4 linked regions of the Lonchura striata genome follow. The protein of the gene in region 1 purifies or fractionates together with the protein of each later gene. This does not show direct contact. Links are inferred from orthologs where the notes say so. Each region holds a gene or a part of one and is shown in the gene's direction. Other genes may lie near its edges.

The links.
Region 2: the proteins of LARP7 (region 1) and KPNA3 purify together in Homo sapiens (affinity purification with mass spectrometry; 3 studies listed by BioGRID and IntAct, with this or other methods). This does not show direct contact. The link is inferred for Lonchura striata from reciprocal best matches to the Homo sapiens genes LARP7 and KPNA3.
Region 3: the proteins of LARP7 (region 1) and KPNA2 purify together in Homo sapiens (affinity purification with mass spectrometry; 3 studies listed by BioGRID and IntAct, with this or other methods). This does not show direct contact. The link is inferred for Lonchura striata from reciprocal best matches to the Homo sapiens genes LARP7 and KPNA2.
Region 4: the proteins of LARP7 (region 1) and HP1BP3 purify together in Homo sapiens (affinity purification with mass spectrometry; 3 studies listed by BioGRID and IntAct, with this or other methods). This does not show direct contact. The link is inferred for Lonchura striata from reciprocal best matches to the Homo sapiens genes LARP7 and HP1BP3.

Annotation. Positions count from the first base shown.
Region 1 is NC_134606.1:71,927,898-71,935,263, reverse strand, and holds the start of LARP7 (la-related protein 7), read left to right. Parts: upstream 1-4,360; 5' UTR 4,361-4,562; intron 4,563-7,101; exon of another isoform or gene 7,102-7,229; intron 7,230-7,366. Other genes in the region: 5'-3' DNA helicase ZGRF1, read right to left, coding at 1-1,845, 2,202-2,387, 2,830-2,886, 2,991-3,071, 3,189-3,209. UniProt on the Homo sapiens protein: RNA-binding protein that specifically binds distinct small nuclear RNA (snRNAs) and regulates their processing and function.
Region 2 is NC_134604.1:62,575,619-62,583,376, reverse strand, and holds the start of KPNA3 (importin subunit alpha-4), read left to right. Parts: upstream 1-4,743; 5' UTR 4,744-4,850; coding exon 4,851-4,928; intron 4,929-7,758. UniProt on the Homo sapiens protein: Functions in nuclear protein import as an adapter protein for nuclear receptor KPNB1. Binds specifically and directly to substrates containing either a simple or bipartite NLS motif.
Region 3 is NC_134621.1:8,515,722-8,522,927, reverse strand, and holds the start of KPNA2 (importin subunit alpha-1), read left to right. Parts: upstream 1-4,190; 5' UTR 4,191-4,238; intron 4,239-4,913; 5' UTR 4,914-4,955; coding exon 4,956-5,030; intron 5,031-5,127; coding exon 5,128-5,265; intron 5,266-6,121; coding exon 6,122-6,210; intron 6,211-7,007; coding exon 7,008-7,206. Other genes in the region: C19H17orf58 (UPF0450 protein C17orf58 homolog), read right to left, coding at 363-480, 2,692-2,915, 3,741-4,065.
Region 4 is NC_134626.1:6,311,963-6,319,871, forward strand, and holds the start of HP1BP3 (heterochromatin protein 1-binding protein 3), read left to right. Parts: upstream 1-4,893; 5' UTR 4,894-4,956; intron 4,957-7,909. UniProt on the Homo sapiens protein: Component of heterochromatin that maintains heterochromatin integrity during G1/S progression and regulates the duration of G1 phase to critically influence cell proliferative capacity.

The DNA of each region.
Region 1 (7,366 bases):
GCAAGCTTCAGGAGAAGCAGTTATGCTCTCTGCATTTTCCAACACAGTTCCTCCTACTGCTGTTTCCTCTGGAGATGAAAAACCTGTTCCTAAAGGATCTGATTTCTGTGACAAAGCCAGCAGAGGGCTGTCTGGCTTCATGTCATCACTCTTAGAAGCCCAGAAGTGCTCTGGGCCAATATCTGGGGATTCCATGCATCCAAGCTTTGTAACTCCTTCCTTGGTCTTTTTGTCCAAGGCAGAAATTATTCTGCTGGGAGAAACAGCTGAAAGACTTCCAGTGGCCTCAAACAGCCTGGTTTCAGGGTGACATTCATGAGCACTGGTGTGACCAGGCAAGAGATCAGAGTGATGGTTTTTTACCCAGCATGTGCCATTAATGGTGAGTGCTGCACAGCCATCCTGATCCTCCTCTTTGTTTGTGCCTTCAAAACTTGATTGACTCTCACTGATCTCTTTTATGTTATGTCCATCACCTACAAGTTCCACTTTGGTTCTGGTCTGGTTTGCAGCATCTTCTGCAGTTCTCCTGGCATCACTGTCACAAAGCTGGGGTGGTGTACTCCCCTCTCCATCAGATTTTGAACATTTCACTTCATTTTTGCTGTGTGTCTCTGCTTCACAGCAAGAATGAGGCTTCAAATGAGGGCTCAAGGCAGCACCTTGTGCTACATCTTCTCCCTGAAAGCTACCTGGGCTCCATGAAGGCATGTCTCCCTCAGAGAATTCTTTCCCTTCTCTCTCACACACCTCTTCATTGTCTATGTCATTAAAATCAAAAGTCTCCATTAGGTTAAAGTTAACCTCCATCAGTTCCCCATCAGGACTACATCCTGTGCCCTGCAAACTGAACTCCTCCTTCACAATTCCAGCTTCAGTCAATGTCACATCCCAAGAGAGCTCTGGGTCACTAGACACTCCCTCTGAATTTTGTCTTGGATGAAGCTCACTCTGCATCTTCACAGAGAAATCCTCCCTAAGACTGTCAGTCCCTGAATGCTCTCTGTATGCAAAAGGATTGTTTTCAAAGGTAGTTGGACTTGCTGAAGGTGAAATGTCACCTGAGGATGGGCCACACTGACTGTCACTCATTCTACTTACAGTGGACTCAGGTAGAAAGTAAGTATTTGTGTTGCAGTGATCTTGTAAATCTTGACTTAAATTATTTACCTTTTTGTCTTGTCTCTGTCCTGTGACTTCTTCACCACGAGATTGTTCAGCTGAATTTGGAAGTGTTTGAGCATTCCAGTCCTTTGTATAATTTACAGTTCCCTGCACAAAAGGCAGGTGCTGAGTATCTGGAACGAGTCCTTTGGCAGGTTCGCCTGAAAAACCAGGTAGGACAGGGCATTTTTTGTCACATAAACCTGCATTTTCTGCTGCCTGAAACCTGGAAAGGCAGCCTGTGACTCCAGATGTTTGCTCTCTGTGTCCTTGTGCTGGTTTAGACTTCAGAAGAGCAATTATCTGTGCTGTGCTCCTGATGTGGTGGGACACTGCCCCGGGACCTGTGTGCCCAGTGAGGAGAGGCGATTCCGGCTGCACAACCAACTGATGGGAGTTTTGCTTCTCTGTCCCCTCACAGCTGTCACTAAAGGGAGCTGAAAGCAGTGAGGACACAGACATTTGCTCTCTGCCACTGTCCCTACATCCCTCTTCCTGACTGCCTGCAGAGAGATTTGTTTCTGCATCCTTCTTGCGAATCGTAGAAAACAACGGAGAGCTGATATAAAACTTGGATGGAAAATTCCCTTGGCACTCCTTAGCTGAAGGCAACACTGTTGGTTTTCCTTCATCTTCCACAGCTGGTATTTTCTTCTCAACTTGGCGTGGTCCTTGGAACCCCTGGGAGAGAAATTTTCAATTAATCCACATTTTGTAATCACATGATGAAAACGGGGCACACTTCATGGACTACATTCTGATCAAATGGCCTGAAAATATATTCTGAACAAATTCACAGGTGCATAGAAACAACCTTGAGCCCTTGTGATTTTTACTCTAGGCAACACCAATCCTGCTAAACCAAATTTCCTAAATGTGGAAAAAACACAGTCTGGATTACAGGAAAAAAAAAAAAAAAAGAAGGCAGGAAGAAATGATGCATATATTTATATATTTACCATTCATGAAAATATGTTTTCCTTGTGTTTTACACTGCATGTAAACATGAGACATAAAAATTTAGAACAAAAACACACCGTAAACTTCCTTTTCAAGCCAACAGGGAGATGTCTTGGCGGTCGAAGACCAGGTTTTACACCATTTCTATCCACTGCTGGAATTTCTGCTTGCTTTGGCTGCCCTTCAGAAGGCTTTTCACTCCCTTTGACTGCTTCAACTGTGATTAAATATCGATCACTTTCGAAATCATCTCCAGGAGACACCTGGAAAAGAGAGAGAAGCAGTGTGTACATAACAGTACTGTATAAGAAACAATATCGTATAGCTTTATTAAAAAAAAAATACAGTATTTTAAGTACTTATATGTAAATAATTCAGGTACTTACACCTATTATACCACAGATGCCATATAATATTTTTATTTATACATATATTGTAAAAAGCATTAGCACTTAGATTCAATGATTATCTCATATATCACTGTAATACACTGTTTTACCACAGAAGAAGAAAAATTCCATGAAGCCTTCTGGACAAACAGTAAGATCTATTAATAAATAGTTCCCCTTCCATTATTTGCATTGTAGCAGAGTTTCATATCAACAAGAAGAAAAATGACTCTTTAGCTACCAAACGTGTTTGAAATGCTGCCTGAAAGACAAAGTACAATCAGATATAAAAATAACAACTCTGAACAAAAGATACCTGAGATCTTATAAAGATACTCTCTAGACATTGTCCTTTATCATCAAACAAGGTAGCCTGCAAAAAAAAAAAAAAAAAAATTTAAATAACCATTTATTTCACCAATCAGCTAGACTGCCACTGGCAGCAGTCGATGTAAAGTCTTAAATCTGAATGTTCACCTGATTTCTGCCAGTTCTAACCCTCAGAATTCCATCTTGCCATGTTTTTGATTTTTTCATCTTTTGGTGAGTGTATAACACCTGTTTTAAATATGTAAAATATTGAAAAAACAACAAGTAAGAAAATGTTCAAATAGTTCAGTAGCTACAGTCTCTAAACTTACACCTACTTAAAAGTGATTGGTAAAAATCACTCACCGTAAATTCTTGTGAGGCCATTGCTTTGGCAACACAGTCATCCAAAAGCTTATTTCACAAATATCCACATCTTCCCACAGCCTGAGAGACAGGGAAAGGGTCAGGATGCACAAGAGCTGTGAAGGAAAAGTGTGGACAAAAGATTACTTATTTTTTTCCCCCTCAAAAAAAAAAAAAAAAAAAAAAAAAAAAAAAAATTAGATGCAAAGTGGTATCAAATCAGTGTGGTAGAGCTGCTGCTGTGGGCATTTTAGAAAGAAACCTCAGAAACAATCTAACACACTGCTGGCAAAAAAAAAAAAATAAAAAAAATCTGTCTTTTTAATAGATGTCAAGCTATTTTCCAGCTTTTAGATGGATTAATTCATTTAAATGAATGGCTAGCAACCCTGAATACTCTTATTCAGAATTACTTGAATTAAAAAGCCAAAAGTTTACTTGCAGGGAAAAAAAAGCTGTTACCAGAATGATTTTGTCCCAGGTGTGGAGTTGGTCATGCATGTTTAGCTCATGCAAAAAATAACTGACTCCCCGTGAAGCCAAACCCCTTTGCATATTTGAAGTGAGACTGCAAAATACTTCAAAATAAATTTTTATATTTATTTTTAATCTATAAACATTTAAAATTAATAATTAAATATACTGCACGTGTATGAATAATTTTAATTTAATATATTTCACGTAAATGTATTATGTTTAATATTTATATATATATATCACGCTTTAGATTGGTGAGAAACAGCTTATATGACGGAAAGGGGAAAGATTCGCGCTGTTTCTTATAGCTGCCATCTGCTTGGGTGCTTCATAAGGTGAAGATCCTAGCACACGCTTTTGAGGACAGCGATATTCCTCAGGTTATTAGAGCAGCTGGCTCCGTGCGAGCCCTTAGGGAGCTCCCGAGCGAGCCAACGCCGCGGGCAATGGGACCCGCCGCCTCCACACAGCCCTTTGCCAGCGCCGCCTCCCAGGGGGCCGCCCCGAGCGGATCCCGCCGCACTCCCGAGGGCCGGGCGGCCGCCCCGCTCCTACCGAGGGCTCGGGCACCGGCGCCGGGCTGGAGGCGGGGGCGCCGCCGCCCGTCCGAACTTCCCGCCGCAGCGCCCGCCTGACGTCACGACGCCCGCGACGCCCCGCCAGGAGGAAGTCACGTGCGCCCAGAGCCCGGCGCGCCCCCGACGCCGCCGCGCACGCGCGGGCGCCGCCGCGGGGCTTTTTTTTTTTTTATTTATTTTATTTTTTTTTCCCCCCCCTCTTCTCTCTCCTTCTTCTTGGAAAGGCGGGGAGTGGGCACCGCGTCGCGCCGGGACCGGCGGGGACGGAGGCGGAGGCGGAGCCGAAGCGGTGTCGGCGCGGCGGCGGCGGCCGCAGCAGGTCAGCGGCCGGGGAGGGGGTGTGGGTTTGCCGGTGCAGCGGTGGCGGCGGCGCAGACAGGGGGCGCTGTCGCCCCCTCAGCGGCTTTCCCGCCGCCCGCGCGCGGAGTTCCCCCCCCACCGCCCCCGCTCGCTCCCCTCACGGCCGGGGCGGGGGGGTCCCGTCGGTCCCCTCAGGGCATCGGTCCCCTCAGGGCATCGGTTCCCTCAGGGCATCGCTGTGTAACCCTTGCCCGTCCTTTGCCCGCCCCCTGGGCATCCTCCTCGCCCGCTGCCCGCTCCTCCCCACGCCTGTGGCGCTTTCCTGAGGGCTCGTCGCTGCCCCGGGGCGCTGTGGTGGCTTTGCCCACAAGTGATGCGCAGGTGACTCTTGTGCGTCTTGGCGGCTGCTGTTGGGCCCAAGGGACTCGTGCTGAGGGGTCTTTGGACCCCTCAGGCTTAGTGTGGCTTGTTTTTTTAAGTGTTCTGTCGGTAAAATCTGTGAATCGCTTCAGCAGTAGCACCTGCAGTGGTCATTATCTGTGCAGTGGTAAGTGTGTGGCGCTCAGGCTTCTCAGGGTAAGTCAGGGCTAGAAAAATCTGTTTCACATTGTGGTCTGCCCCTTATTTGAAGAGTAAAGAAGGTGAGGTTTTTCCCATAGATTTTCAGTGGTTTTGGTCTAGTGCAGCAGCTACTAAGGCCAGAGAATGCTTGGTTTTTGTAACCATCCATTCTCCTTCCAAGTACATCTTGTTTCCCTCCAGCAGCTCTGCTGTTTGTTCAGTTCCTTAATCACTTAGTTGTCCCCACAGGGAAGAGCCAGAAATAAGTTCTCAGGTCTTAAAATTCAGTTGTGTTTCTTGAGGGTGAGATACTGTGAGGTGAAGGAGTTGTGCTGCCCTTTTGGTGTCATACAGGTGAACCCATCTAATTGGAGTCCGGTGCTGGCATATATTTTAATTATAACCACAGAATTGCTTGTGCTGGAAACGACCTCAGGTGGAGTCCAACCTTCTGACCGATCACCACCTTGTCACCCAGACCATGGCACTAAGTCCCACGTCCGGTCTTGAACACAAATAAATCCAATTTGCGCCTCCTGAGGTGACAGAGGGAAGGGCACAACTTACACACAGGTGTGGGAACAGCTTTAACACTCGTCGCAGTCCAGTGGAAGCGAAGCCTTCTATGTTTTTGGGCACACCGGTTTCATGAAGTCCACCAAATGCCTTAAAACTGCAGTTTAAGATAATGCATTGGTTTAATTGCATAAAATGGGAGAGGAAAAGCAGAAGTTCTTCTGGTTTTAGGTTAAGAAATTTGTGCTGGCCCCCGTGTATTATCTCCTGTCCTTTGTTACCTCATTTTACATGGAGAGATGTTTCAGGGCAGGGCAGGAACTTCAGCCTGCAGCTCTGCCTGTGTCTGTATTGGTGTAAAACTGTTCCAGGATATGTCTTTTTAAATAGTTTCAGGTTTGCTGAATACTTACATTTATTCTGCAGTACATACCTAGGGCTGCCCCTAACTCTACAAAAACATTTTCACTGTACATAATGTATTTTAAATTCTTCTTTTTTCTCCCTCATCCCTTATTGCCCCATTTTAATTTTTAGAATACCCCAAGCAAATAAACATTTGCATCCGTGTTTAAAAGAATAAAGTATATTTTATATCTGCACCCTGTTTCCTCTAGGCCTTGTATTACAGTTTAATTTTATTATGTTTTCCAGATGTTGATAATAATAGAAACTGGGGTTGTATATAGCTTAGCACTGAAATCTTTAATTTTTATCGAGCCTAGAGAAGTTTCTATAGATGAGTGTGGAGCTGTGTTATTTTTATTTATTTATTATATATTATCTTTGCTTTCCTAAAGTTCTTTCCCCCTGTTTAATTGTCCCTCCTTTTCTGGTTTCATTCTGGCACACAGAGGCACTGTGATTTTTTTTTTTTTTTTTGAGGAGACCTTTGCTTTATCAGTGTAAGTTTTGACTCTGCCTTTGCTTTGCTCTGATTTTAATTTGTTTATCAGAGTAGTGCTGGTAGTGTGAGAGTTGGCCTGTGAGGAATACAGTCTGCCTTACATCCGGGCACTTGGCGATTGCTGAATTCATTACTTGGGTTTTTATGGATATATTAATAGTTGATATTTGCTCTGACTCGGGAGGAGCTTGGAGTACGAAGTAGTTTCCTCAAAGCTTCATTTCTAAAGGACAAAGTGAGGGGAAAGGCTGGAGTGCAGCTTGCAGCTGCTTTTTTTCTAGCTGGAATGAAAACCTCTCTTCTGGGAAGGAAGTCCCGGAGCTGAGTGACTCCAAATGCTTCTCTAAACAAAGCTGTGCTGCCCCTGGGCCACACTAATGTGTCGGTGTGGTCCCTCCATGCTGCTCAGCCGCGACAGATAGCCCATAATGACATTTTACCTTCATGAAGCTCCTCAGTGCGGCCCTCAGCTGAGCAGCGCGTTGCCTGCTGGTTATTAATATAAAAAGCTTGCTGAAGAGCTTGAGCATAGCTTGAACTTGCTGAGCAGTTTTACCTGGCTTATCTCTTCAAGGTGACTGCTGACCTTTCACTATCTCGAGTCGTCAGCTCACAGCGGGGGAGAGGCTGATCTCCGGCTGAGGAAGCCTGATTTGCACAAGAATTTGGGGACGATTTCCATTTCGCCATCCTGTTGTCGAGGTGGGCTTCCTCTCTGATGGCTGTGCTCTCGTTTCACTCTCTGCTGCCTTGGCAGAGAGCTGAGAAGTCTTTCATATGGTGATTTCGACATTAATTACTTTAATTTTTGTGTTAATTTAATTTTCCAAAAGCTGTCT
Region 2 (7,758 bases), on another chromosome or scaffold:
CCCGGATAGTCAGAAGTGGGAGTCTGACATCCAGATAGTTGAAGGTTCCCCCCAGATTGCTGAACTTGCAGCAGTCGTGAGAGCGTTCAAAAAATTTCAACAACCACTTAATTTGGTAACAGATTCAGCATATGTAGCTGGGATAGTAGAAAGGGCGGAACATGCCCTACTCAAAGATATCTCAAATAAGAAATTATTCCACTTGCTCTTGGATTTAATTTGGCTAATCTCCCACCGAGAGCAACTGTATCATGTAATGCACGTCAGAGCCCACACAGACCTGCCAGGGCCTGTCGCCGAGGGTAACCGGAGAGCGGACCAACTTGCCATGCCCCTTACTTTGACTGCACCGGCACTTTCCACAAACTTACCTGACACTTTTGCTCAAGCGAGGCTCAGCCACGCGTTTTTCCATCAGAACGCGCCGGCCCTCGCTCGCCAATTTAAAATATCACATGCACAGGCAAGGTCAATTGTCACCACATGCTCCAGTTGCCAGACATTTGCCCTGCCATCGATGGCAACGGGGGTCAATCCCCGAGGACTCGGGGCTCTGGAACTGTGGCAAACGGATATCACTCATTACAGCCCTTTTGGCAGGCTGAAATATATTCACGTGTCAGTAGACACCTTCTCAGGTGCTGTTTTTGCTTCTCTCCATACGGGAGAGAAGACCAAAGATTCAATCAAACATCTATATATGGCATTCGCGACTCTAGGGGTCCCAAAAGCTATTAAGACAGATAATGGGCCTGGGTTCACATCTGCCCGTTTTGAACAATTCCTACAACAATGGGGGATTGCCCATACTACCGGCATTCCTCACAATCCCACGGGCCAAGCTATTATCGAGAGGACTCACAAAAATATAAAACAGTTGCTAGAACAGCAACAAGACTCAGCACTCGCAATGACCCCAATAGAGAGGGTCTGTAAAGCACTTTATGTTTTAAACTTCCTAAATTGCTCAGAAAAAGAACCAAATCCACCAGTCCTCCGACATTTCTATAATAACACAAGAGCCCAGCTGAAAGAACGCCCACCGGTACTCGTGAGAGATCCGGAGTCCAAGCAGGTGAGCGGCCCATACCCGCTCATCACTTGGGGGCGAGGGTATGCTTGTATTTCCACAGGACAGGGCCCGAAATGGATTCCAGCGAGATGTGTAAAACCATTCCTAGAAAGCTCCAACGATCTGGACCCCACACCAATGCACACTTCAACAGCACCCACTCCGGTGCCGCCAGACACCGCGGCCGCTTGGAAGAGGAGGAAACGAAAGACGACAAAACAGTACCCTAACATCGTTTGCAGAACACTCATCACCCGGCTTTATGCACCACCTTCAGCTGACGACCTCCCTAACACCCCGTCTCCCTCTATCCCTTTTCCTCTTCCCTCTTACCTCACCCGTCGCTCCTACCCCACTTAAATATCTAATTTTTTACTTAAAAATGAAAAGGGGGAGTTAGGGGAGTTGGGGAAGAATACCATATTTTTCCTGAATATTTTCTCTTTGCACTTTAGTTCACTAGAGATGGCTGCCTAAAAGACATCCACCAACGACCTACGAGAGTGGACGCCCCGACGTATCCGGCTGGCCGCAAGCCTCACGCTCCTTACCATCATGTGGCTGCAGGCGGCGGACGGCTGGATTGTGCCACAGCCGAAGGAGAACGTCTGGGTAACGCTGGCAAAGTCCCTCCAGCAAGAGAACTTTTGCTTGGCCATGGGCAATGTGGACAACCCGTTGTCCACATGCCTGGTGGGGGTCCCTCTGGTAGCCGATGATTGGCCGGTTTCCAACTCTGACCTGCTCCGAACCACGGGCAGGAGACCTAACCCGGTCGACACTTGGGACGCGTGGACGAAAATACTACCAAATTCGAAAGAGGAGCCCCAAGAATTGGATCTGTTAGGGTCCTCTCCTGCCACCTATTGTGTAAAGTTTTATTTTAAGAGGCCAAGTCAGAATTGGCATGGAATTGACTTGGCCAAAAACACATATAGAAAAGACGTTACACCATTGAACAAAAAATATAATTCGGCTACTTGGTGTAACTACACAAGTCCAATTATTTCTGTCTCCTCCAGTCGTCCCAAGTCGTTACCCCGGGGGATGTTTCTTGTCTGTGGGGACAGAGTATGGTCAGGCATCCCATCTCGGCTCCAGGGAGGACCATGTAGCCTTGGCAAGCTTACTACCCTCACTCCAAACAAAACCCAAATTATGGATTGGAAGAAAGAGAGACAATTGGCCAGACAAAAAAGATCCTATGACCAATTCGACCAAAATTGCGATGACAAAATTTATAATTGGGGAAAAACAAAGAGGGTTGCCGCTTCCATCTTTCTCCCATGGTATGCGGTCGCTAAAGCCCTCGGTGAGCTTTCTCACCTGGAGTGCTGGATAGCAAAGCATGCCAACGCATCGTCCGCCGCCCTCTCCGACCTCTTGGCGGACGAACAGACCACCAGGCAGGCCACCCTCCAAAATCGGGCGGCGATAGACTTTTTGCTGTTAGCCCATGGCCACAGCTGCGAGGACTTTGAAGGACTGTGCTGCTTCAACCTAACATCGAGAAGCAAATCCATCCAAGCCAGCATCCAGCGTATCCAGACACAAGTCCAACATCTACAAACTGAAACCTCGGCTGTGGACCCTGCCACCAAGTTGCTTTCTCAATGGGGCGTCCCGGGATGGGCAGCCTCTATCCTCCGAGGACTTTTATGGATTTTAGTTATTGTCCTTATCATTTTAGTTGCCCTAGCAATTTTTAAGAGGATGTTAATTAAGACCTTAGGGAATGTTTATTTAATTAATAAAGAAGGGGGAGATGTGGTAGGGGACTTGGGGAAAGCCCCCCCGAATATGCCTTGGGAGGAGGCTGTTGTGTAGATCCCCGCCTCCGAGCTGCCCATCAAACCTACCACTCCCCTCTTGTTATGTAACCTTCAGTTATGCCCACCTTTATGTCAATCACTTTTGTACTTACCCTTTATTCTGGAATGTTCTTAAGTTCTTTGTCTACAATTGGTTCTTCCCCTGTTACCACCCCCTTCCCTTATTCCCATTTGTTGCATCCCCATTATCTCATCCCAACTCCTCCTCCTAGCCCTATTCCTATTGGATCCTTTGTACCATGTCCCTCCTACTTGCTCCCTAACATAATCTCTACCCCGCCCCCTGTTCGAGGCTCTCGGAGCCAGCTCCCTTTCTGTGAGGCTGTCTACCTGTACCCCTTCGCTCAGTCCCTGACACTTAGCCCTCAGAGATTAAAGCTGCTTCGAAGCCAACCCGCCTTCGGCTGGAGATTTCTTTATTCCATCGTCCCTGCTCCCCGGGATCTCCACCACTGGAGAGCCGCCCGACAGGGGACCCCAGGGACAGGCTACCATCAATCTGGAGGTGCTGGGTCTGTCTGCAGTCTGTCCAAATGCTCCCAGAGGGAGTCGTGCTGCAATAATTTTGACAGGTTGGGGACAATTTGTTGGGCTGGCAGAGCCCCTTTGTATTCTGCATTGAAGCTGGTATGTAGCTCCAGCTACCACATAGAAGTGTGGCATGAAGGGTACGTTGGCAAAGTGCTGGATTTGTTTTTCCCAGGCAGGGCTTGCTTTCATGGCAGACTCACCAATGGGGACTCAAAGCTTCCAAAACACCTGGATTTCTTAGATGCTTGCTGTGCAGCATTTCCCAGGCTGCATGCAGCAATGTTACTGCAGTCATGAGGAGCAGAGGGAGGTGCAGAGCAGACCCACAACACAGCCTTGGCTGGCAGAGCTGCCTGAGGCCACTTTGTGCATGAGCCTTGCCAGTGGGGTCACTCCAGGGTGCATTGTGGGGAAAATCCCACAGCTAACAAGACCAGTGGGATCCTGCAATGCATTAGGAAGAGCATTGCCAGCAGGACAAAGGAGGTGATCCTGCCCTTCTACTCAGCCCTGCTGAGGCACCTGCTGGGGTGCTGTGTCCAGTTCTGGGCTCCTCAGCACAAGAGACACACGGAGCTCCTGGAGCAGGTCCAGTGAAGAGCTACAGAGATTAATAAGGGATTGGAGCATCTCTTTTGTGTTGAAAGGCTGAGGGAGCTGGCCCTGTTCAGCCTTGAGAAGAGATGACTGAGACATCTCATCAGTGTCTATGAGTGAGTGAAGAGAGGGTGCCAAGAGCATGGATCTGCTTGGTGGTGCTGAGCAATAGGACAAGAGGCAATGGGCAGAAACTGATGCACAGGAAGCTCCACCTGAACATGACAAAAAACTTCTTTACTGTGTGAGTGACCATACATTGGAACATTTACCTGGAGAGAAGACTGTGGAGTCTCCTTTACTGGAGATATCAAGAACCATTTGGACACGATCCTGCGCCATGCGCTGTCAGCTCGCCCTGCTTGAGCAGGGAGATCGGACCAGATATCCCACTGTAGTGCCTTCCAACCTGACCTGTTCTGCGATTCTGTGTGCACAGTATCGTTAGGCCCTCGGCTCTCCCGCCGGCGTCGAGCTGGAGCCCCGCGGCCGGTCCGCCGCTCCACGTGCGGAGCCGCAGCCTGCTGGCACTACCCGCCCCAGAATGCCGCGCGGGGCGGGGGCGGGACCAGAGCCGCGCCGCCGCGCCGCGATTGGACAGCGTCCGCCCGCCCTTCGCGTCACGTGCGCTCGCACCGCCCGTTCCCCGCCCCCCCGCCCCTCTCCCAGTCACTCAGCAACGGCGCGCGCGCGCCAGCGGCCCCCCCCCTCCCCGCCCGTTTCCCCCTTGGCGCTCGTCACGGAGCGCGTCCCGCTTCCCTCCGCCCCTCGCGCGAGCCGCCGCCGGGAGCCGCCGGAGCCGCCTCGCAGGAGCCGCCATGGCCGAGAACGCCGCCGCCACCGGCCTGGAGAGCCACCGCATCAAGAGCTTCAAGAACAAGGGCCGCGACGCGGAGGTGCGTGTGGGGCCGGCGGGGCCCCGGCCGGGCCCGGCCTCCGCCAGCGGCCGGCGGAGGAGGGGCCGGGCCGGGCTGGGCCGCGCTCGCGGCGGGAGGAGGCGGCGGGGGGAACGCCTGGGGGGGTTTTTCTTCGCCGTCATGCGGGCGGGCGCGGCCGGCGGGGGGCGGAGGCGGCGGCGGGGGAAGGGTTGGCGCGGCCGGGCCGCCCGCGGGCCCCGGGCAGGGCCGGCGGGATGCGGCGCCGTCTCTTCCCGCCGCGCTCCCCGCTCCACGCCGCTGGCCTCCGCGTCTCGCCGCCTTCCCCCGCCCGGCGCTCGGATGGGGCCCCGGACAATGGTGCCGGCCGCCTTTTGTGCCGCCCCCCCGGGGCGGTGGCGGCCCTTCCGCCGGAGCTCGGGGCTGCCCTGCCCTCGGCCCGCGGTGCCGCTGCCGCGCACGGAGGCCCCTGCCGTGCCGGGGACCGCTCCCACGCTCTGGTGAGCCTGATTGCGGTGTGCTGCGCTGGCCCGTTTTGTTTCTTGTATCAACCCCTTTCTTCTTTTCAGTTTTTATACTTTATTTTCAAATGCTGGTAGGCACGTCAGTAATGGTTTCCTGGGCATCTGCGTCTAAATGGGGAAGGAGTGCGGTACTCGGTAAGACTAATGGGGTAGTAGCTTACTCCCCCGAATTTGAGAGTTTCAGGGTTATTGGGAGCTTAGTCCCCAGAGATGTTCCAGAGGTCTTCGAATCTGCGTGTCATTATCGGACACATCTTCATTTCTACTCGCAACTGAAAGAGGAAATCCCAAATCTCGTATTTAAGTTTCTGTAATAGGAAAGGAAGGGGGAGGGAGCTCTGAAATCAGGCTAGAATTGAAATCGGCTTAGGATTCGCTGGAGTGAAAACCTAAATATGTGTCGGATTACTTTGACTTCACCTGAGAGTGTTTTCCATGGTTCTGTTGATTTTATCACTTTACTCCGTAATCAGTAGACTGGAATTTTAGTGCTCTGAAAGCACATTCTGTATTTTGGCAGAATTCACAGTTCTGCTGCTATTGTTTGGGTGGAGACAATTTTATGCAGGTCAGGCTTAGCAGCAGCAATGTCTTTAAGATGACATTCGCAGTGTAAAGCAATCTTTAATTTTTATTTAAGACTGCATCAGCGAGTCTTTCTTACAGAAAACCTTGCATGTAAGGAGTATGATAACTTCCAACACTTCTGGCTAACATTAGTAAACGTTAGAAAGTAACTAAAAATGGCCCATCCTTCTGTTTAGCAGTAGCTTCTCAGGGTAAGGAGGGGGCGTGGTGCATTTCTTTTTCCTCTTCTCATCCAGTGAGGCCCTTCCTGCTGCTCCTCATTCATTTTGTCCTTGTCTCATCCCTCCGTATTGGTTACTGGCTTTGTTGCTGCTTTCTCAGTAACTGGCCTGAATCCATCAGAGCTCTAAACAGGGAAAGGTTAGGTATGTTCATGCCTAGTGTGAGCTGATCTGTCATCCACGCTTGCTTATATTATAGCACGCTCAAGATGAGGGGAATTAAATATCTGCCTCCATGGGGAGGAAGGAGAGAATGGACTGCCTAAGCTTTGCTGAGATTACTTCTGCCAGACCAGCTAAGGTAGCTTAGCTCTCATTTCCCCCTGAAGAGGAGTTATTATTTTGGAGTAGTGTATTTGCTGTTATGGAGAAGTATATCCCAGCCTTCCAGTGTACTGACTGATTTCCTTTCTGTGGCTGAGCCTAAGACTGGTGCAGAGCTCCAATAATGGTAATGTAGTTAAAGCTGTCATATCTGCTTTTGAAAAGGGTTAAAACCTAGGTAACATACTTCGTTTGCACTAACAAGTAGATAAAATGCAGAGGTGTTTTAAAGTTGTATACCCATGGAGATATGCTAAAATGAAATTTAGTTTCATGTAAAGGACTGTTAAAGATTGGAAATGTTTCAGTGTCTTTCAAAACAGTTTAATTTGTGTTAAATGTCTGATATTTTCTACTAAACATCCTTTTTGACTCTTTTCTGATTTGGGTATTTAAAAGTTCATGTTAGAAGTACCCTTCTGGAGTAAACTTTATCTAACTTAAGCCTCTAAAAGTAAAACAATGTAAGTTAAGATTAGAGTGGAGAACGAATGAGCACAGCAGAGCTATATAATTGCCATTAGGTACTGTGCCTCTCTTGAGGAACTGGTACACAGACTGGCCTGCTGATTGCGCAGATTGTCTCTATGTAGTCAAAGTTACTGGCTCTTCACAAAGTATTTGTTTTCTAAATCGAATATACCTGATTCTCAACTGTCAGCAATTAAATACACTTGGTTTGCTCCCTGTACTGCGATAAAGAGTTTGACATAGAGATCCTGCCTCCACTTTTCTCTACTCATCTTTGGACATCAGGAGGCAACAGTGCTTTCATTGGCATTGATCTACATCTTCTTATTTTGTCAAGTTCCACCAGAGAGAAATGAAGTATTTAGAATGATGACATGATAAATCATGATCTGATATCTAGATTATATCCTTTGGAAAATTTAAAATACTCAAAGCTGTACTGTCTCAGCTTCAGTTTGAAAACAGTTGCACTTGAGTCACCTTCTGCCTGGAGACAGTCATTGCCTTTGAACACATCAAGCTTGAACACATTCTTTAGTAATCTTCCTTTGACTGCTATTAAATACTTAAGAGTTGCTATTGATCCCCTCCGGGAACAGACTCTTCTGGCAGACCAAAATACTTACTCCTTTAATTTGTACTTAACCTGTATTTTATTACTGGGTTTGCTGGGACATATAATTGTCTTTGCTTTTTCTTAATGCAACTTTAAGGGAAACAAAA
Region 3 (7,206 bases), on another chromosome or scaffold:
ACACATCTGGAGTTACAGGTGGTGGGGACTAAAAGAGAAAGGTCACATACAAATTATAAAAATCCCAGATGCAGAAGCAAATCCAACTTCACCTGCCACTGGTGGCTGGCAGGACAGAGCACCAGCTCCCTGCCTGCTTCTGCCAGGCGCTCTTAATTCTTCCCAATGCTGGCAAATTAAATATTGCAATCTACATTCCCATTGCACAAACATGTTGAAATGTTTCTTTCTTGAGCCCTTACCTGCTGAAAAGGCTGCAGGCTGGGGGGCTGCCCAAGCAAGGGTTTGTAGGAAAGTCCTTAGCCTCCCCTGCTTCCCGAGGCAGAGCTGCCCCAGCCCCGCTCCGAAGGTAACAGACTTACCAGAAGATGATCTAATGACAAAGCAGAGGAGCCAGAACACTTGGGTTGTCATTTTGAAGAAAAGTTTTTCCAGACTCAAAATGAGCTGGAGTCTTTTATGCCCTTCCCCCGATCCATGCTAATGAGAGGCAGCCTGAGGGGAAACGGGAATCACTCGCTGGACAACCCACTGGAGCAAGACCAAGCTGCTGCCTCCACCAGCCCTGCCTGGGAGGAATGTGCTCCTTCCCATCGGGAACAAGCCCCTGGCTGCACCACCTGAGTCCTGGGAATACACACCCACACGTGGTTCTGGCAGCAGATTTTTATTTTGGGGAGTCTTGCCCTCCTGTGGCATTCTGTAGGGAAAAATCATCGGGAACAAGGCTGGTTTTGCTGCCTGTGGAGAGCTGTGTTCTGGGGGGGAACCGGGAGCTGCTGGAATACACCAGACCCGGGGACACGGGGGCTGTAAAGGATATGCATGACAATGGAACATATCTGGGGATTTCTGGTCACCTCCAGTGATACAACTGCTAATCTCCTCTTTTAGTTTCAGGAACCAGTTTCAGTGATTCTTTTCAGGCTGAAAAATGCAGTTGTGACTGTCTAGTCCAAGGGAAAGCTCTGCTGATCCCACACAGCTTTATTTTTAAATCTCTCTTTGCCATCGTGAAGAACTCTGCAAATTTTCACACACCAAGCCAACCCTGATTTGGATTACTGAATTAAGAAGGCTTATTTCTAAGTGACCTTATTGCAACACAAGATTCCTATTGTGACAGTTTAACTCACCGGCTGCTGCTGGGTGCTGTGGAAGCTGTTCATGATTTTAAGGGACAACCAACAATTTAAAACTACATAAAGGCACTGAAAGGCTCCTGAAACCCACCCTTGACAGAAAATCTAACCCTCAGCCATGCCTGTGGCATGGGATTCAGTGTTGCTTAGTTCAAGCAGTTTGTTTTGTCCTGCCTTAATTAAATATTTCAATAGGATTTCCAGAAGCTCAGGGCTTTGTCTCCAGCAGCCATGGGCAAAGATACAGAAAATTCACCAGAATAGTGTGGAAAATAAAAGACATTTCACCACATCTATTACTCAACGAGTTACGTTTCTACTGCAACACTCACTTACTCCCTGTTTCCCTCTGTTATTTGAAACATTTTAATTCCAGAACTATCCCAAGATAGCTATTACGGGAATAGGAATGTAAATTGAGGATGAAGGAGAGGAGGGCTCCTCCATTGCTTTGGTGAGCAGCAGGTACCTGCAGCAAGCAGAAGCTGGAGTGTGAGTGCTGGCACTGGGGAGGGAGGAGGATGGATGGATGGATGGATGGATGGATGGATGGATGGATGGATGGATGGATGGATATACACACACGTGAGCATGCCACAGACCTGTATTCCAAGGATTTTTCTGTTGAATTAGCTGGTGGTGCAATTCAACCCTCATTCATTACGGCTGTGTCTGCACTCTTTCCCCAGACTTTACTTGGACAGGATCTCCATTAAGAGCACAGCAGTGGTGTTTGGAGCACTCCCGGCATTCCAGCAGCCCCGGGGTGCTCGAGCAGCGGAGATGGAAAAGCTTTCCCAGCAGCGCTGGGCAAAACCGGGACCAAAGCCACATCCCTGCCCGGTGCCCCGCGGCTGCTGCTCTCTGGAGGGAGCGGGACCCAGGGATGCCCGCAGGAAGCGCAGCTGCCCCCGCGGGTCGCGGAGCGCGGCAGAGCGGGCCCGGGGCAGCCGCGGTAAAAGAGTCGGGGGTCCCGGGCGGGGGTGGGCGCACGGAGCGACCCGCGGCAGCGGCACAAAACGAGCGCGGCACGACCCAGATGGGACTCGAACCCACAATCCCCAGCTCCGGAGGCTGATGCCTTATCCATTAGGCCACTGGGTCACCCAGCACACACCGCGCGCGCCGCCCGGTAAGAGCCCCGCCCGGCCGGCCCCGGCCCCGCCCCCTGCGGGTGTCACGTGTTCCCCGCTCGCGGCGGGCCGGCCCCACCCCCCGCACGCCATTGGTCGCGGCGCCCTCAGGCCCCGCCCCGCGGCGCGTGCCCGCGGCCCCGCCCGCGCCTCAGAACGGGTTCCCGCCCTCGGCGCGAGCGCGTCCCCGCCTGAGGGGACCCGCCCGGGGCCGCCCCGCTGGCCCGGGACCCCCGCCCACCGCTGCCCGCGGGCCCGTGTCTTTCAGCTTCCCCTCGCGGGCCCGGTCCTGGCTCCTGTGCTGCTGCCGGTAACTCTACCCAGTCCCAGCGGCTCCACACTCGGCCTTCTCAGGGAACACCTCCCCCTCAGGGCTCTGTGACCCCTCACGGCCCTTTTGCCCGCCTTGCACACACCTTCTGCAGCCCCACAACCTCACCCGCAGCTTGGCCGCTGTTGTGCCCCAGTTGCCCAGTCTCCCCCGACGTCTCTGTCGCCCCCTCGCAGCCCACACCCCCTCGGGCATCTCGGGCACTGCCAGCCCTCTCCGTGCCCTCAACACCGATCGCTGTGCCCAGATTTAACTGCTCCAGATCATACACTGCCAGCGATGGAATTTCTTCACGCCAACCTTCCAATCCTTCAGGAAAGCAGGTGTTTTACCTCTATTTCTGCTTTTGAACTGCCTTTTTTCTTTGTTTAATATCTCCATTTGTTAGCAACGTGCCTTCTCTTGGCTTACCTGCTCTTGTTTTTGTAGGTGTTTTTTACAAAGCTCAGCACCGTAAGGCCTAAAACCAGCTATATGAGATGTCACTGGTAATTCCTCCTCAGCAAACATCCTCCATACCTAATGTGTGCCTAGAGATTGGTATAAGTGGTTTAATGTGATGGCTTAGCACACAGGCATATCGATGTACATGCCTGAAACTTCTCTGTGTTGTACCTTACAGGTGTCTCAAAGTGTCAGAGTTGTGTTTTCCCTACAGTTCTTTGGTTTGAAGATCTCCTGTGAAAATCAGTGTTCTTTTGTGTTCCATCCCTCATGAGCAGGCCAAACCCATTGGAATCAATCTCATCCCTTTTCAGGCCATACCACAGGGGCAGGAATCCTTTGCTTTTGTTATTCTGTGTGATTAGGTTTCCATCTGCCCTGATGGCTGTAGAACTGCTTTCAGCTGCAATCTCATATCCCCTTTTCTTTGCATTTCTGTGCACCACATTTCTTGGAGACAATAAGTGACACATGGAGCCATGGAATCACTGAATGGTTTGGGTTGGAAGGGACACCCTCCATTACCCCAAGTTGCTTGGAGCCCCATTCAACCTGGCCTTGGACACTTCCAGGGATGGGGCAGCCATAGCTTCTCTGGGAACCTGAGAAGGGCTTCACCACCCTTACAGGGAAGGATTTTTTCCCAATATCCCATCTAAACCCACTCTCGTTGCGTTTGAAACCATCCACCTCCTCGTCCTGTCACTACCCGCCCTTGTCCCGGGGAAGCCCGCGTTGCCGCGCTGGTTTCTGAGGCAGACTCAGGCTCTGCGTGAGGGAATTTCTGCCCCACCCGCTCAGAGCGCGGCCCCTGCACGACACAATTAACCCCTCGCTCCGATCCCCGCTCCCGTCCCGGGCTATCACCGAGCCCGGCCCCGTGCACTACAGCTCCCGGCGTGCCCCGCGCCGCCCCACAGGGGCTTGCTGGCACTGCCTGCGCGGGGCACGCCGGGGGCTGTAGTACCGGGCTTTGTGAAGACGTCACGTCCGACCGGCTCTTCCGGGAGGGCATTCCCCGTCATGGCGAGCCGGGCTGCTTTCAAACCGGCCAATCAGAAGGCTGCTTTGGCTCGAACTGGCCAATGGCAGGGCGCGGCCGCGGGAAATTTAAATGCCGCGTGGGGCGGCCGTGGGCAGTGGCAGCGTGCGGCAGCAGCGGAGCGACTGGCGGCGTCTCCGGCCGAGGTGTGGGGACCGGGTCTGGGGCGGCGGGGATGCGGGCCCTGCGCTGCCCTTTTGGAAAGAGCCGTGCTATGCCTACAATTCTGCCGGGGCCTCTCTCCGGAGCCTCCCGCGTCTCGCTGTCTGCACTGGGGCTGATAGGGCTGGTGTATCCCAGCGCGGGTTGTCTCTCCGGTGGGGCTATGGCCGAAGGGAAGCCAAGACGGTTCTTATGCTGGCAGTGGCTGAGCCGTAAGGGTTTTCTTCGTTACTCGTGTAGCCGTTGTTATGTGCGGCCGGCTGCGCCCGCACGGCAAACGCCCCCCGGCCTTCTTCCCATTCCCAAAAAGGTCGGGGTGGGGCTAGGTGGGTTCCTGTGCAGCACAGGTGCGTGATAGTGAAAATAGTATTTAACAGCGTGTGTATGTTGTCTGTAGAAATGAAAATCTATGCTGCTTCTGAAAATAATAACTAGCAGTATTTGGTTTAAAGTGTCTCAAAATCGTGTGACTGTGTCTTCTGCTTTTGTGTTGATGCTAGAGTTCGTTATAACATATGGCTGTTTAATGAGACAGCTGTTGAACAAGTCAGATGTTTTTATAGTATTAATGCTAACAAGTGCCTATCATTCTTGAGTATGGGTCCAATTTTTTAAAATTTAACTTTTGTGGAGTAAATTTTCCTTTGCTCTGTTTTCAGGCTTGTTTTTATCTGTCCTGCTCAAAAAATCTAACAAGCAAGATGTCTACTAATGAGAATGCCAATACACCCTCAGCTCGATTAAACAGATTCAAGAACAAAGGAAAGGACAGCACAGTGAGTACTCTGGTGCAATTAGTACTTTAGCCAGCCATTTTCTCTTTAAATCTAAGTTTTGAAAGCCCAGAACTTATTCTGAGTGTGTATCCTCCAGGAGATGAGAAGGCGGCGCATTGAAGTCAATGTGGAGCTGAGGAAAGCTAAAAAAGATGACCAGATGCTTAAAAGAAGAAATGTGAGCACTTTACCAGATGATGCTACTTCTCCCCTTCAGGAAAACAGAGGCAACCAGGTAAGTGGATACTTGGAATAGACACACTTGGAGGGTCTTACTGTCTGAGATGCTGCAGCCAGGCCAACATGGATCTATTCTCGAGTGCAGGACAGCACTACTGCATCTGCATTAGTAACTCAGGCCTGTGTTATCACCTCTAATGGACAGCACTCTTACACACAACTGGGGATGCCTTAAGTTTTAGCTTTCATATTTTTCAGATTCTATGCTGCTTTAGTGTGTAACTGAGCTTCATATTAAGTGTTAGCAAGTTCTCTTCACAGAGTAGGTAGACAAAACAATCCCTTTCCAGCTTGTCCAAGGACAAGTGTTACAACCTCCAGGCCCAAAAAGTATAAACAACAGTGAATTGAAGAAAGAAAAATAAACAGGATGGAGCTTTGTAACCTAAAGTTATAACTGGACAATTAATTCCAATATGCAAATGGACTAAAACATATAAAAGTGTCAAACCTCATGACCATAGTCCGTTTTGTGACCATTTTGGTTCATCTTTCGTGTAGCCCTGGCCAGGCTCTTGTACTGCCCAAGTTGTATCCATTAAGGCCTTCAATCAATACCTGCTTTATTCTTTAACTCTGTTTAGCCTCTGTTCTAAGTCAGACTTCTCAAGGCATCACTGGCTGCAGCTACATTTTAAACCTAGCATAACTGGTATGAATCACTTGGTTAAAAAAAGCTTTCAGCAGTTCAGATAACTGTAGGTGAAGCTGTAGCTGATGAGGTTTTGAAATACCTCATTGTGGAAGTGGCTGTAAATTGGGGCCTGTTCATGGTACTGTGTAAGAGCTCTCTGGTCAGGAATACACATGACTGTCCCAGTGAAGCACTCATGTAACATTTTCTTGTACAGGTTTTGGCACATTGGTCAGTTGAAGAAATAGTCAAAGGAGTTAATAGTAATAATATGGAGCTTCAGCTACAGGCTACTCAAGCTGCCAGGTAAGCAGTTCAGAGGAAACCAACTCAGCTGTGCAAGCCAATAACTAGGCAAGGTGAGAGGATTGACTTATGAGCCTAAATGGCTGCTTATGGCTTTCTTATCAGGCAGTATTTCAACAAACACCATCTTATATACCATGTTGAGATACCCATAACTTAGGCATGGTTTTATTGAAATCATGTGGCTTTTGAATATTTAAAGTGCCTGAATATTTTAGTAGGAAGAAGTAATTTGCTTTAGTGGTGGCAAATTTAACAGTAGTCACCTTTGATTTGAAGAAGTAATTATAGTTAACACTTTATTATAGCAAAGTAAGGTACCTTTTAAACTGTGTTAACACTTTGGTATGTATGAGTGTGGCAATTCACTTTAGAATAATGTGAACAGTAGGATGAGTGGGTTTTGAAGTTTTCCAAGTTTGTTTCTCTTTTCAAATCTAAAATATCCTTTAATAAGCTTGCATATTGCTCAAGTGCTTCTTCTGGCAGTCACTAACCTCTCTCTGCTGAGAAGCCTCTAGCAGCTCAGATGTGTAATGACTCCTGCAGGTCTGCTTTGCTTCAGAGTCTGAACAGAACCTCTCATATAGTGAAGACATGCCAAATTAGCATTAACAGAGGCCTGGCTAGGGAGCTAGTGTTCATCTTGTATGCATTTCTCTTTCATGCTGTTGTGTTGCCTTCTATGAATGTTAAGACAATGCTAAACTCTTTTCATATGGTGCTTTTAAAACTTTAATTTGTTGTTCAGATGTCTGCAGGCAAAATTAATGCTTCCTGTTTGCCTTCCTCCATAGGAAACTCCTCTCAAGAGAGAAGCAACCCCCAATAGACAACATAATTCGGGCTGGTTTGATTCCAAAGTTTGTCTCGTTCCTGGGCAGAGCAGACTGCAGTCCCATCCAGTTTGAATCTGCCTGGGCCCTCACCAACATCGCCTCTGGCACGTCAGAGCAAACCAGGGCAGTGGTGGATGGAGGGGCAATTCCAGCCTTC
Region 4 (7,909 bases), on another chromosome or scaffold:
AAATCACAGTATCTGAGGAAACCTCAGATTGTCTACCCTTCTGATTTTCAAGGGGCTCCATTTGCCACCTTTGGTGAGGTTTTGTGGAGCTGTTGTTTGCTGAAATAACTCCTGCTTCTTTAAATGCTGCTGTAGGGATGCTGACTGTGGAAAGCTTTGTCATGTGGCACCAGCTTCTCTTTCTCGTTTCCAGCTGCTAAATTGTGCTGAAACAGCAACAGGAATAAAACCAGCTCCACTCCATTCAGTCCTTTCCATGGGGGAATTTGTGTCCAAGTTGCTGGCCCAGCTGCAGGAATGGATATGCTGTGGTTGCAAATGGGAAAGGAGAGTGGGCGTGAGGAAGGCAATAGATGCTGTTGGTTGGGAAATGTCAGTGTTACTGAGTGAGGGGAGAGAGCAGTGAAGCTCTTGGCTGTCCTGTTGCAGCCCCCTGCAAGAATTAATGGCAGATGTTACCATCCAAAACACTGTTTGGTTCAGAGTTAAGGAAATTCTCACTGCCAGGTCTCTTAACTGTGGGGAGATGTAGCTTTGGGAAAGCTGTCCCTGTGTGCAGTGTTGAGTTGGTGGTCTTCAGCTGCTCCTTGCTTAGTGAAGGTGTCACTTCATGTACCTGACTTGGGCAAAATCAGTCATTACTGTAATGCCAAAAGTGGTGTAGAAAAAGAATCACAGCTTCCAGCCCCTGGTCCTCTAGTAATGACAGCACTCAGGATCTATTTCAAATCAGGGTGTTTCTAGAAAAGCAGCAGCCTGTGGAGACTGCTCAGGCCATAACATTTTCCTGCTCCAAATTCCTGCTCCAAATTCCTGTCGGCTCCAGTGGTATTTCTATGCTACACTTGCTCCAGAATGAAACCAACTTTGGTGTATTTAAGTGTATTTTTATTCACTTGCTAGATCTGATGTAAAAAATGGGTTGTTTGGTTTGAAAATGCATAGAGGAATGGGATACCCCTTGGAAAGGGGAAAATGTTTGAAAAGATAAGGAAGTAGAACCTTAAGGGTAAGTGTGAGAGAGACAGCAAGGGAGACCAGCTGTGAGATGGTGTAGGGTGACACTGGGAAAAGTATGGAGAACTAATTACTAGGAAGCTGATAAGAAATAAAAAAATCAAGTGATATCTTGAAAGCCACGAAGAGACAGAGAATATGCATTTTGGGGTTGAAAGCAGAAAATTAGTTATTTTTGCATAGAATTAAAGAAGCTGCAGGGATGACAGTAAGACTGCAGCTGAAAAAAAGTAAAGATGAATTGGAAGAGAATTGTAAGTTGTTCTGGTGATCATTAGAGGTCTTTGGTGAAGTGAATCAGCAACAAAGTGGAAAATTCCAGTTTAAAGGACTAAAAGTCCCTATTTCTACAGGACATGTAAAAGGAAAAAAAAAAATCTTAATAAGTAAAGTAGAAGTAAGAACTCAAAAAGCAGCTCAGGTATAAAGACAGGAATTATGTGTGTGTCTGCAGGAAGGGCAACATCACCACGTAACAGGTCCTTGTGTAATGCTTATTTTGCCATGGGCAAAAAGCCTCTGGAAGTTTGTGTGTGGCTCAACAAGTGAGAGACCCACGTGAATTAAATGTTTGCTTCAGTGGTGGTTATGGGATTGTTGTGCTTTGCATCACTCCCTGTGCAGATACAAAGGGTCAAGCTGAAGAGAGCAGCGACCATCATCCCCTCATGGCTGGACACAGAACCAAAACAACCCCCTTGGATATATATTCAGGCATAGTGAGATCTGATGGTAAAGACCTTCTCAGGGAATACCAGATTGTGTGTATATATAATATTAGATTTGTTTTTCAAAGCACAAGAAGCTGAAGATGCAGCAGCAGAACATGGAGTTTTAGGGATGATTGAGTATAGTGACAGAGAAGAGCTTCCCAGTCTGGTGGTAACTAGACATGGGCGGGGCTGGAAAAAAGGCTCAAATTCTCCCTGAGCCAGGTGGACTGCAGGTCAGAAGGGCATAAAAGGCTTCCTAATATAAATGTAAAAGCTGAGGTAAAAGTGGAAAGGGAGAAAATCGACAAAAACTTGGGGTGACAACACCAGACGCAAGGCCTGAATGTATTCAGAGCTGAAGTTTGGAGCTGCAGGTCAACGTTGAAACATTGAGAATGTATCAGCAGAAGATTATTTCAGCAGTTGCACAGTTTGACGGAGGTAATAAAGGTAATAATCATGTGGCAGATAGATGTTAAGCCTCACAGAAGTGTGCTTATTAAATTCAAGTGTTCACTTTAAATAATAAACGTGGCAAAGTGGGGAAAATGTGAGTTGGTCTAGGTTAAAAAAAGTCAACAAAATAACCCTTGGAATGGAATTTCCATGGACAGATTTAAAACATAAAACTATCTAAATCAGAAACACAAGAGGTTCCATGTTTCTAGGACAAGAACAACAAGTGGTATTGCTCTGGATGCTGGGTGGAAACAGTAAAACCCTTGACTCCAAATTGTACAATGACTCCTTGGGAACAAAAGCAATGTATCTGGATGATCTGCAAGCAGCACAGCCCAAGCCCAAAGCTGTGGGGAGACTCAGGAGAGCTCTAAGGGACAGCAAGGTAGAATCAAATTAAATTCTTTTCAAGGAAAAAACAGCTGGAATCTTACTAGTCCATGGCACCTGCAGGCAGGAAAGGTATTGAGAGGGCTTAGGACTTATTAACAGTGCTTAGTACTTACTAAAAATGAGTCCTTATTAGAAATATTCCTGATGTTGATAGGGCTTGACACCATCACAAATAACTCTGGCAGCAGCTCCAAGCTGCAGTCTGATTCCCTGGCCATGGATTTCCCTGTTCCTCCTGTGCTGGCTCTGAGCTTCCCACTGCTTCATTCCTGTGGGAATAGGAAGAGGGACACAAATGACACAAACCTGCCCAAAAAGTGGAGCAGAGAAGACAGAGCAGTGGGTTGTGATCCCACAGTGTGGCTGTAAGGAATGTGAAGGGTCTGCTCTTCCCCTCTGGGATGGATTTTGAGGTAAAAACCAGAGAAGGAGATATCAACAGCTTTTCTCCTCCACTTGTAGCTCTGTGGCTCAGCCAACACAGGTGCTGGGGCACATCCTTGCAGTGGGCAAAGGGAGAGTTGCTGGTCTAATTTCATATTTTCCTTCTTGGTGTCTTAAAACTCAGTAGTGAAGGAGCACATTCCCTCTTCTCCCCCTCTGCTCCACCTTCTCCTGCCAGAGAGGCACCACAGGGGGGAAAAAAGCCAAAGAACACATTTTTCTGCAGTTGCACAGGGCTCGTTTCACACTCACAGGCAAGACAGGAATGTTCAGCAAAGTGGAGCCATCTGTCTGCACCGCTCCCAGGGCTGCTCAGCTCCACGTCAGTGATCATCTGGAGTGGAGGAGACTGAACAGGGCCAGGCTTTCCTCACAAGCCTTTAGAAGGTGGCATTCTCAGGTGTAGTAAACTTAGAGTAGTGACCTACAGGGGAAAGAGTTGGAAAAAGCTTGGACAAGAAACAGGCATTACTGCAGAAATAAGACATTTCTGTAGTGCTTTGAATGGTGTAAATGCTTCTAAATGTGCTCACAGAGGGGTTTCCCATCACAGCAGGGATAAAAATGCTCAAATAAATGGGTAAGTGCCCATATGGTCTTCAAATTGTAAAAACACAGATGGGAAGAGAGGTTGGCAGGAGACAGGTAATGATTATTTCAGAAAACAAAAATGAGAAAACTGCTCAGATGAGAGCAGATGAAATTGCTGTGGTGTACTAGGAGTCACCATCCCTGGAGCTGTCCAAAAAGTGTGGCTGTGGCACTTGAGAACGTGGTTTAGCAGTGACTTTTGCAGTGCCATGGGAAAGGCTGGACTCAATGATCTTAATGTTTTGTCCAATTTTAATGATTCTGTGATTCTAAGCATGCTTATGGCAGAAAATATGAAAAGGTAGGGAATTGAGGAATTCTACCTTAAACTTATTAAGTAGTCCGTTTGAAGGAAGGGGGGGAAAGAAAAAAACATCGAGGAGTCTAGCTAAATAAACTTGGAGCAAAAGTGTAGCAAGAGGTACACAAGAAAAGCTCGGGTTTTACCTCTCAGTGTACCTCCACAGCTGAGATTACTGTGACAGTGAAGATACAAGTGTGGGTCACACCTCAGCTCTGCTTTGCTATGATAATCCTCACCCTGAGCAGTGGAGGCACAGGTAAAAACTGCTTGAAAGAAGAGCAAAGTATCATCAGGAAAGGGATCCTTCCCACATGTGAGAACTTGTGAGCGTGTTGTGACAGAAAATTCCCAGCTTGCAGCCAGACCTTAGCACTGGGACTGGTGTAATTGCAGGAGGCAATAATTACACAGCTAATGAGGGATGGGGGTGAAGAGGCTGAGGCAAAGGGAGGGCGGTACTGGGGATACCGCAGAGGGTGAGAAGAGCTGGAGGTGACATACAGGCGGGAGTGCTCCGGACCGGGAATTCATGGGTACACACAGAATCACAGGATAGCTGGGGTTGGAAGGGACCTCTGGAGAAGATCCAGTTCAAGCCCGGGTCACCTGGAGCAGGTGATACAGGAACACGTACACTCGGTTCTGACAGGGCTGAGGAGTAGGCGGCGCAGTCGCAGCCCGGCGGGGCTGAGCTGAGGGCCCGGCGGGGCTGAGGCGGTGCCGGGGGCGCCTCCGGCCCCTCACGGACCCGCCGGGCGGGAATCGCCTCAGCGCCGTGGTGGCGGGAAGCGCGCGCAGCCCCGCTCCCCGCCCCCCGTTGCGCACGCGCAGTCTCGCGCGACGTGGAGGCGGTGGGGCCGGAGGGCGGGGGAGGCATTCGAAAAATGCCCGCGGCCTCCCATTGGCCGGCGGCGCCACCCGGCCACGCCCCCCCGCCTCGCGCCGCGGCTCCGCCCCTCCCCTCGGCCGCCCCCCCCCGGTCCCGCCGCCGCCGCCGCCATTGGAGGCGCCGCCGCTTTGTGTCCGCCGGGCCCGGTGAGTCCCGGCCCCGCCCGCCCCCGGCGCCGCGCCGGGCGGGACACGGGGCCGCGCCCGGGAGGCCGCGGGTGCTGCGCGCGAGGCGCGGGGGCGGCCTGACGGCGTCGCCGAAGGGGCGCCGGAACTGCCCTCAGCGCGTCCCCCCCCCGCCCTCCCTGCCCTGACAGGCCTGGGGGAGCGGGGCTGTCGTGACGGGGAGTCGCGACACGCTGCGTAGGCGCGGCTCGATGTCGCGGTGGGCTCGGTCTGGCACGGGCCCGAGGAGGCGGCCTCGGGTGGCGCCGGGCCCGGCGGGGCCTGGCGGGCTGCGGGCCCGCGGGCCTCACAAAGGAGCTGCGGGGCTCAAACACGCCTCAAGCACGCCTCTCCCGTCCCGCCGGCACAGGGCGAGCCCCGGGGAAGGTCAGCGGCGGAAGGGGCTGGCAGGGCCACGACACAATAAATAATGGCTATTTATAAACTTAGGGAGCGCCTTGGCTCCCGCCGCGGCCCTCCCGCCTTTGGCCGCTCGGCTGTGCGGTTGTTCGGGGTTTTGCCTGCACTAACTCGCTTCCTCAGCGCCCGGCAAGTGCCGCCGCTCGAGGGGAGCCTCAGCCTGGCTCGGTGTGTCTCCGCTTCCTAAAAGAGGTCGCTAATCGCCCTCGGCGCCGATAGCGATGGCTACAGACCTACGCGTGAGGCTCCCGGCACTTGCGAGTGCCTCCCTGCGCCCCGGTGCTCGCAGCCTGCTTAAGGAATGTTAATCGCCCTCCTCCCCATAGTGCTCAGGTTCTCTACGGAGAAAGCTGTTAAATTCCACTCTGCAGCGGGGCTGCTCCAGGCAGGCTTCCGTTCCTGTATCGCTATCCTTCTTGCCTCTCAAGGCTGTGGCGTGTTTTTGGGTAAAACATCGCATAGATTTAAGGAGTGAAGGAGCAGTTTCTGGGGTGGCTTTTGCCAGGTCAAGGGGGCCCCATCACCTTACCTGCTCCACCTGAGGACAGCTCCAGACTGGGAACACTTCAGAACAAATCCTTCTGTATTTTTACTCTTTTCCCACTAACCAATGTCTGCAAAACACTGGGGAACTGCGCAGCTTGTGCTACAGAAGAAAAGTTGGATTATGTGAGGTTGTGGGTGTGTTCTCTCCTTCATACAGTGTAGCAGGGAACGATCGCTTGGATAGTTTGTTTACAGATGTGGTATTTCTCGGATACTCGGGTATTTCTCACTTCTTAAGAGCCCTACTGAATTATTTCTGGGTTAGCGACCGTGTCACTTCCCCGTGCTTAACTAACTGTTAAGTGTTGCACTCTGATTTCCCAGCACGTGACTTTTGTTTGCTTTGACCATAAATAGTATTTTTAGCATCTTCAAGAAAGAGTTGGCCAGCAGTCTTTGGCAAGCAGCTCCCATTGAGGCGGGAGAGGTTCGGAAGTGCTTGTGTTTGTAAACAGCGTCCCTTCTCCATGAGAGCAGTGAGGGGAGAGGGAGGTGAGTTCAGTTCAGGAGGGGAGGTGTTTGATGGACTGGGCAGGAGAGCACAGACCTTCCTCAGGTGAGACTTCAAAAAATTGTTGGATAGAGTGGGAGATCTTTGGAAATCAGGAATGAGTAGAGGGGAAAAAAAACACATAATTCCTGTTGGGGGGAAGAACCTGGTATAAATACCTTGCAAAAAGGTGACTTTTTAAAGAATTCTCTTGTTTACCTGTGTGAGCTTTATAATTAATGTTCTTCTCAATTCATCATGCATGTTGGTCAGGCAGAAGGTCCTTGAATTGCTTTTTTGTCTTCAGAATATCTTTTCCTGTGGGTTTTTTTTTTTTTCCCTTTCAGCAGAAAGTGACATGTAAATCTTTTGGCAGCGTTTTGTTACAAGTGACCTGGGGTCCTCTGAGGATTTAAACTTCTGTGAGAGGGAATAAAAGTGTTACATTGATGAACTATAATGGGAAGTGTGGGTAGATTTCTTACAGACTGCAATGGAATAATGGCTTTTGTCATGTATAGTTTTGGCTGTAGAATAATAACTAATAGCTGAATAAGTAGTAGTTGGGAGGAGGGTTTATACTGTGGTTTTAAATTTATCTAGGCAAGGAGGAGATGGCCTATAAAGGGTTCAAACCCTGGTACGTAACACTTGCAGCCTAAATTTTCATTCAAGTGTCAGCAGTTTGTCAAAATTCATTAAGTTGGATCCTGAATTAAGATATTTTATCCAAGGCTATGAAAACTTTCAGCAGGGGATTTTTCATGTTGGAGTTGTTTTAACTTTGTGACCTGAGCTTGTTTTAAACTTAAAGCTGAACCCTGTGCATGCTAACAAGGGTGATTTCATCCCTCAGTGGCCATGAGGCATAGATAGAGTGTGTAGAATTTAGATCAAGGGCCATTCAAGCCAAAAACTGTTCAAAACTCCTAACTGTTCCTCAGAGCTTGTCACCATCATGATCCTGAGCATCAGTGTGGTGAAGGATTATTTTCAGACAGCCATACAGGCAGAAATTCTGCTTCATATTAGTCCCTTGGCTGAGGTTTCTGTGAGTTTTAGGTGTAATTTAAGTTGCTCACTGACTGTGGCTATTTGGGGACGTGAGGAAAAACCCCTGGGTGTAGGAATGGAAAATAATCCAAGCAACAGAAATGATCTGTTCTTACTGGCTTCTGTGCAGGTCAGAGATTGTTGGTGAGAGAATCAGAAACCTGTAGTGGTTTTCTGTTGAGCTGATGGTTTTTGTGTAGAGAACAGTGGAGGTAGGGCATGGGTGGTTACTTCATGGGAATTACATGGGGTTACTACATGGGGATTGGGCTGGCTTGGGGCTGCTGGTGTTGGACCCTAACAGAGACAAGGGCTGAGCTCAGCCCTGGGTCAGAGCATCAGTCTCACTCTAGTAATGTACCAATTTTTTTTTTTTTTTATCTTCAGTGAAAGGAGCATCTGTGTGCACAGAAGGGCAAGGTTTAA